2 linked regions of the Tamandua tetradactyla genome follow. Each later gene encodes a partner of the first gene's protein in a complex. Links are inferred from orthologs where the notes say so. Each region holds a gene or a part of one and is shown on either strand. Other genes may lie near its edges.

The links. The genes of interacting proteins can lie anywhere in the genome.
Region 2: the proteins of ALK (region 1) and ALKAL2 are in contact, whole or in part, in a cryo-EM structure (PDB 9G5I), measured with the Homo sapiens proteins. The link is inferred for Tamandua tetradactyla from reciprocal best matches to the Homo sapiens genes ALK and ALKAL2. Residues at the interface, in NP_004295.2 of Homo sapiens: Leu684, Tyr739, His755, Ser758, Leu760, Phe856, His857, Glu859, Leu965, Tyr966, Thr967, Pro968, Leu970, Lys971, Val972, Met973, Glu974, Glu978, Asn980, Val992, Glu994, Cys995, His996, Met997, Phe1007, Asp1009; in NP_001002919.2 of Homo sapiens: Ser112, Lys113, His114, His116, Arg117, Leu118, His120, Asn121, Thr122, Arg123, Asp124, Arg133, Arg136, Leu137, Arg140, Leu141.

What each region holds. Positions count from the first base shown.
Region 1 is NC_135329.1:13,545,520-13,553,085, reverse strand, and holds the start of ALK (ALK tyrosine kinase receptor), read left to right. Parts: upstream 1-4,525; coding exon 4,526-4,821; intron 4,822-7,566. UniProt on the Homo sapiens protein: Neuronal receptor tyrosine kinase that is essentially and transiently expressed in specific regions of the central and peripheral nervous systems and plays an important role in the genesis and differentiation of the nervous system.
Region 2 is NC_135329.1:43,331,407-43,339,282, reverse strand, and holds the start of ALKAL2 (ALK and LTK ligand 2), read left to right. Parts: upstream 1-4,860; 5' UTR 4,861-5,129; coding exon 5,130-5,388; intron 5,389-6,779; coding exon 6,780-6,833; intron 6,834-6,923; coding exon 6,924-7,004; intron 7,005-7,876. UniProt on the Homo sapiens protein: Cytokine that acts as a physiological ligand for receptor tyrosine kinases LTK and ALK, leading to their activation. Cytokine-binding is sufficient to activate LTK. In contrast, ALKAL2-driven activation of ALK is coupled with heparin-binding to ALK.

The DNA.
Region 1 (7,566 bases):
TGGCCTTTGTTTTACTTACCTCCTCTTCAGACCCAGCCCTTAAGGTTCACAGTCATCCAGAAGATGATGTAGAAGAGCACGGAGTTCGTCCAGAAATGTGGTTGCCAGCTGGGTCACATGACATACGCTTGGGGGAGATAAATGTCAGTGGTCCAGTAGAGAGAGGGCCCAGCCCAGGAAACTGTGAATGGAGTGTAGGGTATAAAAAGCTGCTGGGTCAAAAAGGGTATGTGAGGACTTGATCCACAGCATGGGAGAGCTGGGGGTGAGGACTCAAGAGAGTCCTACTCCTTTAATATGTATATAACAAAGACATTTGAAATAAGTCCCAAACACCCAAGAGACTTGCTTAGAGCCACATGCTTTGGGAGACAGTAGTAGGTAGCAGTTATGAGCAGTGGCTTTGAAATCAATCAGACCTGAGTCCTGAGTTCAGAGCCTGCATCTGTCTTTTATCGGCTGTGTGACCTTGAGCAAATCACTTAACTTTTCTGAATTTCTGTGTTCTCATCATGAAAGACCTACCTCATAAGGTTATGGTGAAGGTTAAATAAAATAATAGATATGAAGTGTTTAATACAATAAGAGCTCATTAAATGTTAGCTATTAATAGCAACAAGGTAGAATTGGAAACCCACGTTTCCTGAATCCCTCATCCAGAGTGTTTCACATCTCACCCATGGGAGACAAATTCTACTTAACAGATTTATCTATGGTTGAGCCTGGCAGCAGACATACTCTGCTAAGAAGATAAAGCACTGTTTCATAATCAGAAAGTTATGTATTCTACGCAGTTAGGAGTGTTTGCTGGACAGTTAGGGGACAGTTCTGGCTGCCCAGGATTGACGATGGAGCCCAGTGGATGTATATGGTCTTCACACGCAAAATGAGATGTGCTGTCAATAGGGACAGCTGATGTGCAAGCAGAACCAGAATGCCACGGGATGGAGGAGCAGAAGGTCCTACCTCTCCGTTGTAACTCAGAACTCAGACTAGTTCTTTCCTAACAGTTTTGACTGTTTCAACGTCCTAACACAGAAGGTCTGTGTATTAGATAGCCCTCTCAGCTTCCACGCAGGTAAATGAGTGCAGACAGTGCCCGGGCTTTCTGGGCTACAACTGCAATCAGTGATTGATGTACTTGCACTTAGTGGTACTGGTCACTCCCAAAGCTGAGGCCTGTGAGCCTGAAAGGAGCTCATATTTATTTAAAGCAAACTTGAGGACGGGATTTGGAATAATTCAACTCATAGCATCATGGAATCTCAAATCATTAAATCCTAAGGAGTCCTAGTGCAAAAAGGGGTTCTGGGAGGGAGGATTAAAGAATGGAGAAGTGTGGAAGAGGGGCTGCAGGAGGTCGGAGTCCCTAGGGAAGACTCAGGACAGCAGATGTGGTGAGGTGATAGGTCCTTCTGGGGTTTTTCTTTTAGTAGAAGATGCTCCAACCTTCCCTGCTATGCAGCCCAGGGGAACAGTAGGAGCTGACTTGTCCCAAGGTCATGCTCATCAGGAATAGGGCATGGAAAAATGCCACTGCAGCCTTGATGGCTCTGCAATTATTCGGATGCTTTGCTTATAAGACAATCACAGTTCCTAGCTCTGATTATCGGCATCATCAGCATCATCTATTAATGGGCTTTGCGCTCCTCTGGGTATTCGGCATTTACAAGACACTAAAGGTGCCAAATACAGACTCAGAGATGAAAGAGGGAAAAGAGCAGGAAGTGGACCAAATTGGGCAACACTCTGAGTGGCAAGATCTAAATCAGCCCGAATCCATTCATGTGAGCTAATCTTAAAGGGCCAGGGACTCCTATATTCCAGCAGGGCATTAATTATTCCGGCACCTTCTTTATCCCTCCTGTCTCCATTATTTTCAGCTGCTTACTTTTAACTAGGAGTATTTAAACTCCCATTAGTTTTCCTTTTCTCCCTTTTGATAAATAAACTTTCTCTTTATCACCTATTTTCCACTCACCATCTAGCTGTCTGCAGGAGGAGAACAAGCAGAAATCTAACAGAACAAAATAAGTAAGTAAAGGAGAACTTGTCTCCAAATTGGCCAGATCTTGCTGTGTCTGCACAGTGACACCTTGATAACCTGGAGCTTCTACTTGCCGGTAACTCAGGAACTCAGCACAAAGCAAGGAGGCACAGTTTACTGAAAATGCCCATTACCCCGGCATGAAACGTGCTCCCCCTGCTGCAGAGCCCAAACATCTGTTCTGCTGCTTTCGTGCATGTGCTTTCAAAGCTGATGGTGGGAGACAGCATGCCAGAGAGGTCTGAGTTTCCACCCGAGACATATTGCAGGTTACAAGCCAGACAGCTGCCGTTGTATTGAAAACCTGTTCATCAGAGTTTCCTAAAGGAGCAGATATAAAAGGTTCAAATGAAGCCTTCAGGGTTTCTCCATCTAACCCGGCTTTAAGCACTGTCTCTCGTTAATCTTTAAAGAACAACAAAGAGAATGTGTAACTGGCTAATTATCGTGTAGGGTGGCAGATGCTCAGTGTGGAAAAGTCCTCAGGGTCATATCATTTAAGTGGACACTGTCCAGAAGAATGTCATATTTTGAAGCAGATTCCCTGACCTGCAACATTATCTATTCCATTTTAATCTTGAATTATGCATCTCTCAGCATTTTTGCCATTACCCCTTACTGGGGGATTTGAACTTCAGAAGTCTGAAGCAATCAGGTGACAGAAGCCCAAATTTGTCCTCTCATAAGAAACTCTCATCCCTCCTCACTGGAGCCGGATGGAAGGATTGATGTGTTGCTTTTCCTCCAGCTGGGATGCCCAACTGGAATGCCTTTCCCTGCATCAACTTCCTTCAAAATCCTTTTCTCCAGTTAACTAATTAATCCTATCCACACCTTGATGGGCTCTCCCTCACTTTCAAACTTCTCAGCATTTAGGCAGCCTCAATATGCAGACTCTTGAATGGAAGTTCTCCAGGGCAGGGACTTAGTCTCTTCATCCATATCTAGTACCTACCACATTGCCTGGCACATACTGTGCCTGATAAAATGTTTACTGAATTCAGTAAAATTGCTTATATTTTCCTTGGATTTATTTGCCTTTTATTTCATACCAATTCTTCAGTCTGTGCAACTACAAATTCCTTAAGGTTGGGATTCTTGTCTTATTTTTCTTTTCCCTCCCTCTAGAACACTTCTACATTTTTATGTAACAGGTTCTCCACATATTGGATGGACACAATAACTTTTCTTTAAAGTCAGTTTATCTTTTTCCCAACCCAACACAAACCATAAACTGCTCTATTCAAGTGAATCTTTATATATTCTCTTTATAAAAGGAAACTAGGCTAGTGTGATTAGCTTTCCTTTTATAACCAATTTTATTTTTAGATATAAAGATAAGGATCTCAATGCTCTATTTTTAGGATTTTGTTTACTTCAGGAGTCAATCAAAAAAATTTGAATGTAGAAGTATTAACCCCAGTCAAATTCTAAACAAGTTGCTGAACAGGTGGTTTGGGAACCTTTAGAAGAGAATGTGGTGATTCCAAGAGTCCCCTAGAAGAAGTTCTGCAAAAACCCCTCCTTCAGTGGGGTCCAGAGATTAGTAGATTAGAGGAAAGTGGCAGCCACTGAACATCTTGATTTAAGGAACACATATGACAGTGCTTCCCTTGATATTCTGGTAAGTGGGTCTGCAGTAAATCAAGCACTTTCATCTGAGGAGACATGGTGAGTTTTCTCCACCTGCAAGGTGACTCTAACAAAAATGCCAAAGGCCTCTGCCATGGCCTTCGGGTCTTCAGTGTTCTGAATCCATGACAGGTGCTGGCAGAGAAAAAATCCATCATTTGTTCAACACTTGCTGCATTCCCGGCATGGTGCCAAAACCTATATGTATCTCATTCCACAGAAAGCCTGGTTTTCTGATGATTCAAAGCTTGGGGGGCAGCCTGACTACCACACATGACAAACCCTGAAGTTTGGAAATCAAGTTAGATAAAATTTACTACAGGAAGTGCCATGGTCTCACACTCAAGTTCAAACCAATCAGCTGCTTTGAACCAGAACATATGGGATCTGGGAAATCTGCTTTGGTAACAGTTTGTGGGAATAGGATTAGGGGCCACAGAGAGAGGGATGGGGCGGAGGGATTCTAAATGACCACAAACTGGCATAAATGATGCACTGAGAGGCTGCAGGCACAAAGTCCAAACCCCAGCGAGGGCTAGCCCTGGTGTTTCCGAGCACAGAGCATCCTACCGTCCTAGTATCTAGTAACCTAAAGGAACTTCAGTTCTCATCTACTTAAGAGTTTAACTGCCAAATTTTAAGAAAACATGAACAAACGTAAATCCAGAGACCGACCATATCAAGATGGGCACCTTAACCCAAAAACAACAGAAACCTACCATAACATATCTTTTCAAACCACCCTCATCCCCATTTTCACTCTTTCCAACAACCCTGAGAGGGAGCTCCCTAAATAGCGGCGCCGTGTGTAAAAAGATGAGGTGAGCTTAATTAGCCACTCAGCTAATGAAGAACTGGCTGTTGAACCAGGGTTTCTGGACTCTCAGCTGGTACCTTTCTCCTGCCCCACACTGCCGGGCCCTGCGCCGGCGTCGCGCAAAGCCCGCCGGGACAGTCGCGCACAGCCCGCCGGGACAAACGCTGAGACCGCAGGGCTGGAGGGAGGTTGCTCTGAGAGGACTACGGAAGCCTGGAGGGAGCCAAGCAGCTGGAAGTTCGCGTAGCCGCTGGAGTGACCTTCCCATCAGAGGAGTGACCTTCCCATCAGATCCCTGCCCATGCCGCACTCCTGGAAGCGCTGGGTAGGAGGCGTGGACCTGTCTGAGCCTGTTTGTTGTTGTTGTTTGTTTTTATTTAGAGAAGTTGTAGGGTTATAGAAAAGTGCAGGAAATACAGAGTTCCATATACTTCCCTCTCACGTGCAGGATTGACACCGTATCGATGGGGAGCTTTTGTTACAATTGCTGAAGGACTTTTATAGTTATACTATTAACTGAAGTCTGTAGTGTACATTCGGATTCACCGTGTTGTACAGTCCTATACTTTAAAAATTTTTTATTCTGTTAACATGTATAAATATATGTGTAACCTGAAATTTCCCATTTTAATCACTTTCACATATACAACTCAATGGGGTTCATTAAGTTCACAATATGTGCTACCATCACCACCTGTATTACCAAGACGGTTACACTACTCCAAAGAGAAACTGCACCAATTAAGCATTAACTCCCGACTCCCCACCCCTGCCCCAGCCCTTGGTAACCTGTATCATAGTTTCTGACTCTGTGACTTTGCATAGTCTAATTATTTCATGAAAATGAAAGCATACAATACTTATCATTTTGTGTCTGGCTTGTTTCACTGAAGATGATATTTTCGGGATTCATCCATGTTGTTGCATGTATCAGAACTTCATTCCTGTTTAATACTGAATAATACATTTCATTATATGTACATACCACATTGTGTTCATCCTTTCATCTGTTGATGGACGTTTAGGTTGCTTCCATCTTTTGGCAATTATGAATAATGCTGTCACAATCAGTGTTCAAGTCCCTGCTTTCAATTCTTTGGGGTGTAACCTAGGAGTGGAATTGCCACTATAATAATTCTATACTTACCTTTCTGAGGAACCCCAAAACCGTTTTCCACAGCTATGACGCCATTTTACATTCTCACCAACAGTGAACAAGGGCATCTGTTTCTCCACATCCTCTCCAACACTTTTTTCCTGTTTTTCTTTTAATAGTAACTATCCCAGTAGGTGTGAAACGGTATGCCACTGTGGTTTTAATTGTGTTTCCCTAGTAGCTAATGATGTTGGGCTTCTTTTCATGTGCTTATTGACCATTTGTATATCTTCCTTGAGGAAATGTCAATTCAGATATTTTGCCCATTTTTAAATTGGGTTGTTTGTCTTTTGTTGTTGAGTTGTAGTATTTCTTTATATGTTCTGGATATTAAACTCTTATCGGCACCTCTTGGTTTTACGCAGAGCTTGGGAGGGAGTTATCTGGGGAATTTCTCTCCCTGTCTTTCATTCATGCCCTTCTGCCAACCAGCCTTCCTTCCTTCATTGCTCTCCTGTGAAGTGAGTGATGTAAAACAACCACGCCTCCCCCCACGGTGTCCTGCAAACCTGTCCCTCAGTGCTGCCGCTACTCCCAGAAACAAAACTCTGATTATCATTCATTATTTCTACTTCTTAGTATTAAAACCCTTTTAATATGGCATTGGAGACCATTGGGGAGTTTTAAATTTCATGTCAGACCAGGATTTATGGGCCAGTTCTGAAATCTTACCTCTGGGCTCAATAATCGCAATTCCCTTTTAATTGCTCTCTTAGACACCTCTCTTAAAAGGCTTCAGTTATTTCCGCAGAGCAGCCCATGGGACCTGGCCAATCTGAATACTCAACTTGGGTCACCTCCGTTGGAGGACTGCATGCAAGGCTCAGGCTGTGTAGCCTGGTTTGAAGATGCAGTGTTTGACAGGCAGTCCCATCAAGGAGCTTCAGGATTCTTGCAAAAGAGTTTTGAGTTTAGGGATCATGCCCACATCCACTCCCACTCCATAGCAAGAAATGAATGTGTTAGGTGTGCATGTTCTTCCATGCTCATTTTGTAAACTGTACAATTCTGTGGACATCCAAATCCACACTCCTTCTATGGGAAACATCTTAAAGGAATATGATGGAGGAAGTCAGGATGGAAGTGTTGGAGAGAGAAAAGGTCCCTCAACTGGACTCTCCAGAGTCCAGTTTTGGGAAAGTAAAAACAGATGCTGAGAGGGTTGGTCAATATTAGAAAGGAGAGAAAAGAGGAAACAGGAGCAGCAACAGCCTGCAAAGGGCAGCCATGTCACAGGAAAAAGAGAAGACCAGGGGTGAAAATAAATTATCTTGCTACCCAAAATCAGGGTGCAGCGAAGGGGCTAAGATGGGGTTATCTGGGGTGCTACTAGTCACAGGAGCCACCCCCGAGGTGTCATTTAGGGCTTTACATCTGGTGGCAGCAATTTGTCTGGAAGAAATGCATAGCTTTGTATGCAGAGTCACTAACTGCTGAAGGAAGGTTTACTTGCAGACTGAAAACAGCTGCTTCTGTTGGACAACAGTGGGCTGGGTGGGGGACAGAGTGCAGCCTAGGGAAAGGTGAATCCGCCAAAGGAGGTAGGAACAAAAGGAGAAAAACCGAAACTGGTGCTCATACATTGATGATCCAAGTCCTTTCCTTGGGTAGAGGCAGTTACAAGGCGCTGGAGACTCCCCAACCTTAGCGAGGGGTCTTTCCTGGGCCCATTGGCAGCAAACCTTTAGACTCTAAATGAAGAGTTGCCTGCCTTGGCAAGCCTAGTCTGCTGTAAGGTGAATAAAGGGCTGGACCAAAGCAACAGGAGCCTTAACCACTCAGAGTGTGCATCTTCTAATATAGCAATAGAATATGCCAGTGGGTCTTCAAATGGTTTGCATGAACCTAGGAGTTTGCAAAGTGAAACATTTCATACTATTTACATTAGTAATCTACTTATATTTGCCATTTATT
Region 2 (7,876 bases), about 30 Mb from region 1:
TTTGCAACATGTACCGCAAAATAGTTCTGTATGAGATGTGTGTCAAGTGGGAAGGGGGTGCAGGACCTTAGAATAGTTTGTTTCCTCTTATTTTAGGGAACAATTAGGCAGAGTGCTATTTAGACTGCTATATATCTTGCAAACATTATTAATTCTAAAGAGTTACATTTATACTAGGGAAATGGGACCTCTTAGAGAATTTGTCTTCCTAGCTCCTTTACACATTTTCTAGTACATTTCTAGGATATTAATGATGTATTGATACTAAAAAATAACAGAATTTGTGAAATTTTAATATTAAGCAATATTTCCTTAGTACATATAATGTTATCCTTTACGAAAGGTAATTATTTTTCTCTCTACTGAGGGATTGTTAAATTCTCTAACTTAATGGTTGACAAATATGTAACAATTCATTTATCTCAATTAATATTCATCTCAAGCAAAATATATACTTTTGTGGGAAAAAAGAAAAATTATGGTAGTTGAAACTTTGGGGTTTAACTCAAAAAAATATCTTGCCCATCTCATGACACAGATGTATAATAAAAGTAAATTAACCAAAACAATTTACCCCCCTCTGGTTAGTTTACTTCCTATGGTCCAATACAGTTTTCTCAAAATGAAAACAAAACTAATCAAATCCAGCAAAAGAAATTATTAGTTATTTTTCCAGTGATTCTGGAATGCAGTTTGATGCTTAATTTTCTCTCTTATCTTTTTCGGCTTTTAGTAGAAAGTTCTTCACTTACTAACGGAGGGAATTAAATTATTTAATATGGATATATCACCTCTTCTTGCCTGAAAACAGGTGGTGAAACTTACAGTGATGATTTCAAGTGAATTTCCTTCAACTTTTTGTAGAAAACATTTCATTTTGTTTTCAGACATTTTTTGGTAACAGTTATAGAACTTTATAGTTTGAAACTTCAGAGACCATCCAACCCCCTCATTTTATAGGAAAAGATACTGATAAAGTAGTTTGTCAAATACAAGTTCAAATTTTCATGTAAGCTTGTCTATGTTTTACTTTGCCTTAACCAAGATAACCAATCAATTTAGTCAATCAGATTGTGTCAACAATGGGCATAATATGCCTATTACTGGTGCTTGAAGAACTCCAAGACATTTTTTTCTGACAATACTATAAATTGAAAACTTCAATACAGTTTAATAAATCAGCGCAGTCTTATCAGTTGCATAAATTGTTAAAGTCTGCAAAATTGACATATAAAATGAGAGGCATCTGGAGTCATTTCAGCACAGAGCTTTGCAAAAATGAATGGATTAATACATGAATTTCTGATTCCTAATTGCCAGACCTCATGAATCCAAATACCAATCAAGCAGAAGCTATGTTGTCATTGTTTATGTATGAAGTTACCTAATGAGTTGGCCTGAAGTATCAGCACACACAGTTGGATGGTAGAAAGGAATCAGAAGATTTATTCACAAAGAATCCCCTTGTCAGTCCCATTAAAAACTGCAAACAAATAAAGGACAATATTAATGACCTGGAAAATTTTCTTTGGTTGGTAGAATGGGGGGAGGTCTTATTGGTACTTTTTAGAAGAAACCTAGCTTTAGTTTAGGAAAATACTATTAAAAAGAAAATATTCTATATAAATTTGAATAATACATGGGCTAATTTCTTGTTGGCATTCTTCACTATGGCAAGGTATTTTTTTTCCAAATCCAGTTCTACAACTAAATATTTTTCACAACAATAGAAGCTTTCCATGTTTCTATAATGCTGGAACTTGCACCACTATAGGAGTCAGGGTAAATTCAGGATGCTGAATGAGACAAGGAAATGAATGTCAGCAAGAGGAAAGCTTCTGTCACTAGGCGTCGCTCTTGCAAGAAGAGCTTACATTTATTTTGATAGAAAGGGGAAAAGGCAGAAAGGAAAATATCTCATTTTATCTGCTTAAGATCAGTCAGGTATGAATTCTCATTGTTTTCTGAATATATTTTAACAGAAACTTTCATATTTTAGTCATACTGGTTGCAAAAAAGAGAAAAAAAAATGTTCAGCCTGATCAAATCATTTGCTTTTAAAGAAAGCAAAATATAAACATATACTCAAAAAGGAGAAAAAGGGCTAGATTTTAATATCTTCCATCTCTACTCTATTTACACCACCCCCCCTCTGCCAAACACATCTTCTTCCAGAGAAAACAGACCATGTGAAGGAAGGGGGATAGAGAGAATAGGTAGAGAGAGAGAGAATACTGCCAAAAAGTTATCGGGAAATCCAGCAACTAAGAGCCTTTTCTATGTCAGTGAAATATTTAGTAGTCTTACACACACATGCACTCTGGCAGCATCTTTGTGTCACTGCCATAGTGTAACCGCCCCTGTTAATGGCGGAGGCTTTTAATTCTTACCCACACTCTCCCTTTCTGGTATCGTACTTAGAACACCTTTCCCAATTAGATCTTCTGCCTTGGAGTACTTCCAGCTCTTGCCCAGAAAGGGCCAATAAAATGGGAAAGTGCTCAATTGATTGATAATACATTTTACAAGAAAAAAAAAATTAAGGAGGTAAATTGTGGAACTACTTCCTTACAGAATTAGCCCTGAAGGCAACTGCTCCAGGCAGGGGAGGTCAAAGATTTCTGTCCTGCAGGTTTTTCAGGGGAAGGTGAAAAGAAATATCAAGTCTACTAGAGGATTCAAACCAAGATTTAACAGGTAGAGTCTGGGTAAGCTGGGGGGCAGTACAGTCTCTGAAGGAACTGGATGTTAGTGTTAACCTACCAACTAGTCCTTTGAGTTGCTTGTACACAGTCATAGACAGAGCCGGTGGGTTCTAGTAAGAGGATGCAGAAGTGGGGAGGCAGTGGGGAATACCTGCACACACCTTTTTTCCTGAAGTGTGTATTTTGTCCTCGTTGTCTCTTTTTTTTCCCCTTCGACAAGCCATTTGCAAGCCCACTGACCATCATCACTGTCCCCCTGCATTCGGTGAAGAGCCGCCTTGGGCAGGGGGCGCTCGCCTGGGCACCAGGACTTGGGACGGTGCAATGTCCTTTAGAGTAGTTCCCCAGCGATGCCATCTGATCCCTCCAAAATAGATAGACTTTAATTGACTTATTAAATGTCGAGGCAATCAAGCAGCCGCTCCTTTTTTAATAGCCCTAAGATCTACATTTAGACAAAAACAGATCCAAGTTCCTGGTAAAGGCGTTTCTTCTCATCCTGTCACAAGTGACAGGAACGAAGGGAAATAGACTGAGAGAGAGAAACGGGGGGGGGGGGGAGGGAGAGATTGTGGCGGGGCGCGGGGAGGGGGGGTTGGTTGTCTGACGAAGATCCACACAAAAGAGTATGAATATTTCAGCGGCTTTTTAACGAGCTTCTAATTAAAGACGCTGGCTTTTGAACCCCCGGGGGACCCACGCCTTACGTCCGCAGGCGCGAGAATAAGAAGCGGCCGAACTGACCCTGCCAGGAGGATCCGAGAAGGGAATTTGGGCGACAGACAGCACTCACTCTGAAGGCGGCCGCGCGGACTTGCCGAGCCTTTCCACCCACTTGGAGTTGACCGTGACACCGGGCGCCGCGGCTCCCAAGCATCCTATGAGGCATATAAGCCGAAGCGCCGCCGGACATGGAGTAGTGGGGCGCGCTACGGCTCCGGGCCGGCGTGTGCAGTGCCCAGCCGTCTAAGCAGACGTCCACGGCTCCCGGGCCGCCGAGGCAGGTAACTCCCGGGCTCCGGCTCGCCGTCCCCCACCCTATGCCGGTCTCTTGGCACAGCTCCGACGTGCAAATGACCAGCAGGCTGGAAGTGGCCCTGGCAGTTAGTTGTTCGCAAAGCGTCTCGGTGGCGCCCCTAAACCTTGGCTCTCGGCTTCCCGCCTCGCCTGCAGGCTGCGGAGGAGCGAGGGGGTTTCGAGAAGCCTGGCAGTCACGGGCGCGGCCGGGCGAGGGGGCGCCACGCGGGGCACCCATCTGGTTGGGGGAGCGGGTGACCACCCTCCCCGTGCCCGAGGCTCCCGAGCGCCTCGCCGCACTCGGGTTCCCGGGTGCCCCGCAGTAGCAGCTTCAACTCCGGGAAGGGCGCTCCAGGCGCGCGGTTCCTCCGCCTTTGAGACTGAGTCTGGGCCGCGGAAAGGGGTTCTGGCAGGGCGCGTCCGCCACTTCGGGTCCCCGGGAGGGCGACGTAGCCGGACAAAAAGGCACTAGCTTAGAAACTTGGTTTGAGACTCCCAAACTGGGCACATGAACACGTACTTATCCAAACTGAATGGGTGCTTTTTTTTGAGGGAGTTGGGGGCACATAAGTGCGGGCGGGTGGTGGTGGTGCGAAACCTTTTCAAAACTGTCGCCCCGCAGGCAGATATGCTAGCCTGAGCCTCATGTATTTTTTTAAAGTTTAAAAAAAAACACGTTGATATTATATATTGGAATATAGAGTCAGATAAGTTAAAAGGGCCAGCCGGATGAGTGAGACTCAGGGAGAGAGCCAACCGGAGGGAAAAGTAGATTTGTAGCCAGGGCATTTGGGGGCGGGGGCCGGAATTTAAAACCGTAAGATGAATGACTGTGCTTCTCATTGTGGAGTGGGATCGTGGGGTGGGGGTCCTAGTGGAGACCTCAATTGACCGACCCTCGGCGATTGTACTTCGCCGACCCTCTCGCACCCCTCCCGACTGAGGAAGGTTGGCGGAGTGGTAGCGCCGCCCGGCCGGGAGGCGACCGGTCAGCGTTAGTCCCCGGAACTTTTAAGGATGCCTTCTTCGCGGGCGCTGGAGGCTCCGAGGCTCGCCTCTCGTGCGGCTCCTTCCGTAGGGCAGTGGGGTGGGGTTGAGGAGAGCGGTGCTCGGGGCGGGCGGCGCGGTGAGCGCCCGGGAGACTGCGTACGCGTGTGCCTGCCAGCACCAGGTGGCCGAATCTGACCACAGTGTAGACGAGGAGTTGGCCACTTCTTCCTCTGGGATCTCAGAGCTTTTTCCCCTTCCTCCGCCAACCCTGACTTTCTCTGTCTCTCCTCCCTTCCCCTCCCCCCATCGCCACCCCCTTCTTTCAGTGAACCTAGAGCCCAGAGAGGGTGTTGGATTATTTTCCAGCTTCATTCCTAACTTAACGCACCATCCTAAGGCTTCCCTGTGCAAATTGAAATGAGCGGACCGAGGCGTCCTGTCCTCCTGGGGCTGGTGTTCTTGCTGATGACAGTGGGACCTTGCCGAGGGAGAACTGAATCTCGAGAAATCACAGACAGACAGACTCTTTTAAACCTCATCATGGAAATCATTCAGGAACTTAAAAAATATCACTTGGGAGAATACAAGAGATTGCAGATTTTCAGCAAACATGACTATACGCTGGGCCGTAGGGAGGTCTCTGACTACGGAGTTTATCCCGAGGAGCAAAGAGTTGGTAAGTCAGCCTCTTCATATATTTATCTCAACAAGTCTCTATAATGTGTGCATGTCTGTGTAATCACGAACTCCTTTTAACGACTTCAATCTTTAGTGTATCTGCGTATCTTTCATATCTAAGACACTAGGAGAAATTGTGTTTGGCTGGAAGTAGAACTGTCTATAAGAAAACACACTTTAAAAAGATCCTGATTTTTTTTTTAAACTAGGAAACATTTTAAAAATGAAAAATAGAAAAAAAGTAGGGGGCGATGTGTAGATAGCTCACATAATCGTAACTAGTCCACATCTAAGCCATATGAATTGCTACCTATGCCATAACTGTGGTGTTATTTTAGAAATGGAAATATTTTCAACGAAGCAGTTGCAACTGAAAAAGAAATGTTTCAGAGCTTTCCCTCTATGGTAGAGCCTTTCTCAGAGTGACTGCCCCATGGGAAATTTCTGAGGAAAGCATGTAAGCTTTTAATGCTTTTCATGACACAATTAGGCCAAATATGATAAGGTCAATTTTATATAGACTGACTTCATTTAAGAGTAAATGAAGACTGACATTAGGGAGATGTCTAAACCTTCGAAGTGAGCAAGGTTCGGATGGAAATGTTCTCTCTTCAAATGAGATGTGGGAAGGATCTAAGAAGTACTTGTGGTAAAATAAATAAAGTGTGACATCACATACAATCATCACTTAAGTTACCAGTTCAGAACAGATAAGTGAAAATGATTAAAGATGACTGTGAATAAACAAAGGCTGCAAACAGAGGGAATGCCAATGAAACCATTGCTATTTACCAAGTGCAAAACAAAAGATATGCTTGGAACAGTCTTTTCCTAGGAATTTTATTTTTATCTTACAAACCAGATTAATGTATACCTCCATTCATTTACACCAGTTCTCATAACAGGTGGTTTTGAAAGCATTCAATACTTCTTCTAAATATGCAGCTGGACAAAGTAAAATTATTTAACAATTTCTTTGGTTGTGTGAAGGATCAGGTTTGCTTCCTAAAACTTTGAGAGGGTGTAGGATTTGATTCACAATCTCTTCAAAACAAAAGCATCTAGAAATGATGTATTCACTGGAAGCTTGTTGTAAAAAAATAATCTTTTTCACCTTATAACTTCACAATCAGTATCCCTATCTTGGTGTTAAGAGACTGGAGAGAAAATATAAGAGCTTTGTGAGCTGCTAAAACTATATGTCTGGGTACAAGTTTTCACATTATAGGTATATAACAACCAAGGAAGGCTCCAGTATGTATTATTTAGTTCAAAGTAATATGGCCAGTGAAGTTTCCAATAACTTTCTTCAACATTCACCTAAGATCATGTGAGGAAAAAAATGCTTCCTTCAGGCAACATGATAATTCGCTTCTTTTCTCTCAACAGAAATTGTTCCTCGAGACCTAAGAATGAAGGACAAGTTCTTAAAACACCTTACAGGTAAGTTTTCTTTACATTCCTTCACGTCTCCTTCAGTTCCTTTGCATCTTGCTGAATCCTCATTATCTGTTTTCCACTTCCATGTTCCAGGTCCTCTTTATTTTAGTCCAAAGTGCAGCAAACACTTTCACAGACTTTATCACAACACCAGGGACTGCACCATTCCTGCATGTAAGTGACAGCATCTGTGTATTGCTTTAATAAATGCTAGGACACTGTAAAGACTGATTGTCTGAAACATGCTTCATGTCCTTTCATTTAATTAAATAGGCCCCTGCCTTCTAAAATGCACATTTGCTAATATTTATTCCTTCTTAACTATAGAGTTAGGAAGGGACAAGGGTGTCCAGACCACTGAAGAAGGTAACTAAATTCTCAGCAGCCAATGACAAAACAGAAAATTATATTCATGGGAATTAGCCTTTGGAATGGGCTGAAACCTGTGATTCACATACTTCTTTGGTTTATGACTTCTGGCATAATGCCTGTATTTGTAACTACTGAACTATGACAGTCAAACAAAAGTTAAGAATGAATTGCTAAAATGACTACTGCTGAGTCACTATACTCTAGGGTGTAAAGTGGATTGGCCTGAACCATTCTGGTTAAACTTTCTTGCCATCCCCACTACGTTGACCAGGGACTTCTTCCAACAGTAATTATAAACTCATCATCCAGGAATTTTATTGTTATTTGAAAATTCTTTTTTTCTGGTTGCCTTCATCACTAGTTCAGAAATGCACAGCTATCCTCATCAGTCTAGCTCATCAGTCTAGCTGTAATTTTCTCTCCTTCTTGTAGGTTTTTTATGACAATGTCCATATTATTGTTTTCTTTTTTCTGGGCATTAATCCATAGCAAAATGTATTTTCCCCAAAAGGGTTCCCATCCTCTTTACACAATGCATAACAAGTACAAGTGATTTATTAGTTAGAGAGACATCTGCTAGAGCTCTAAACTAAACATTTTGTAGGGACTAAAACTTTAATGTCATTTTAGAGCTTGCAAGAGAAAAGTCATGCAGATACATCAGATATCATAGT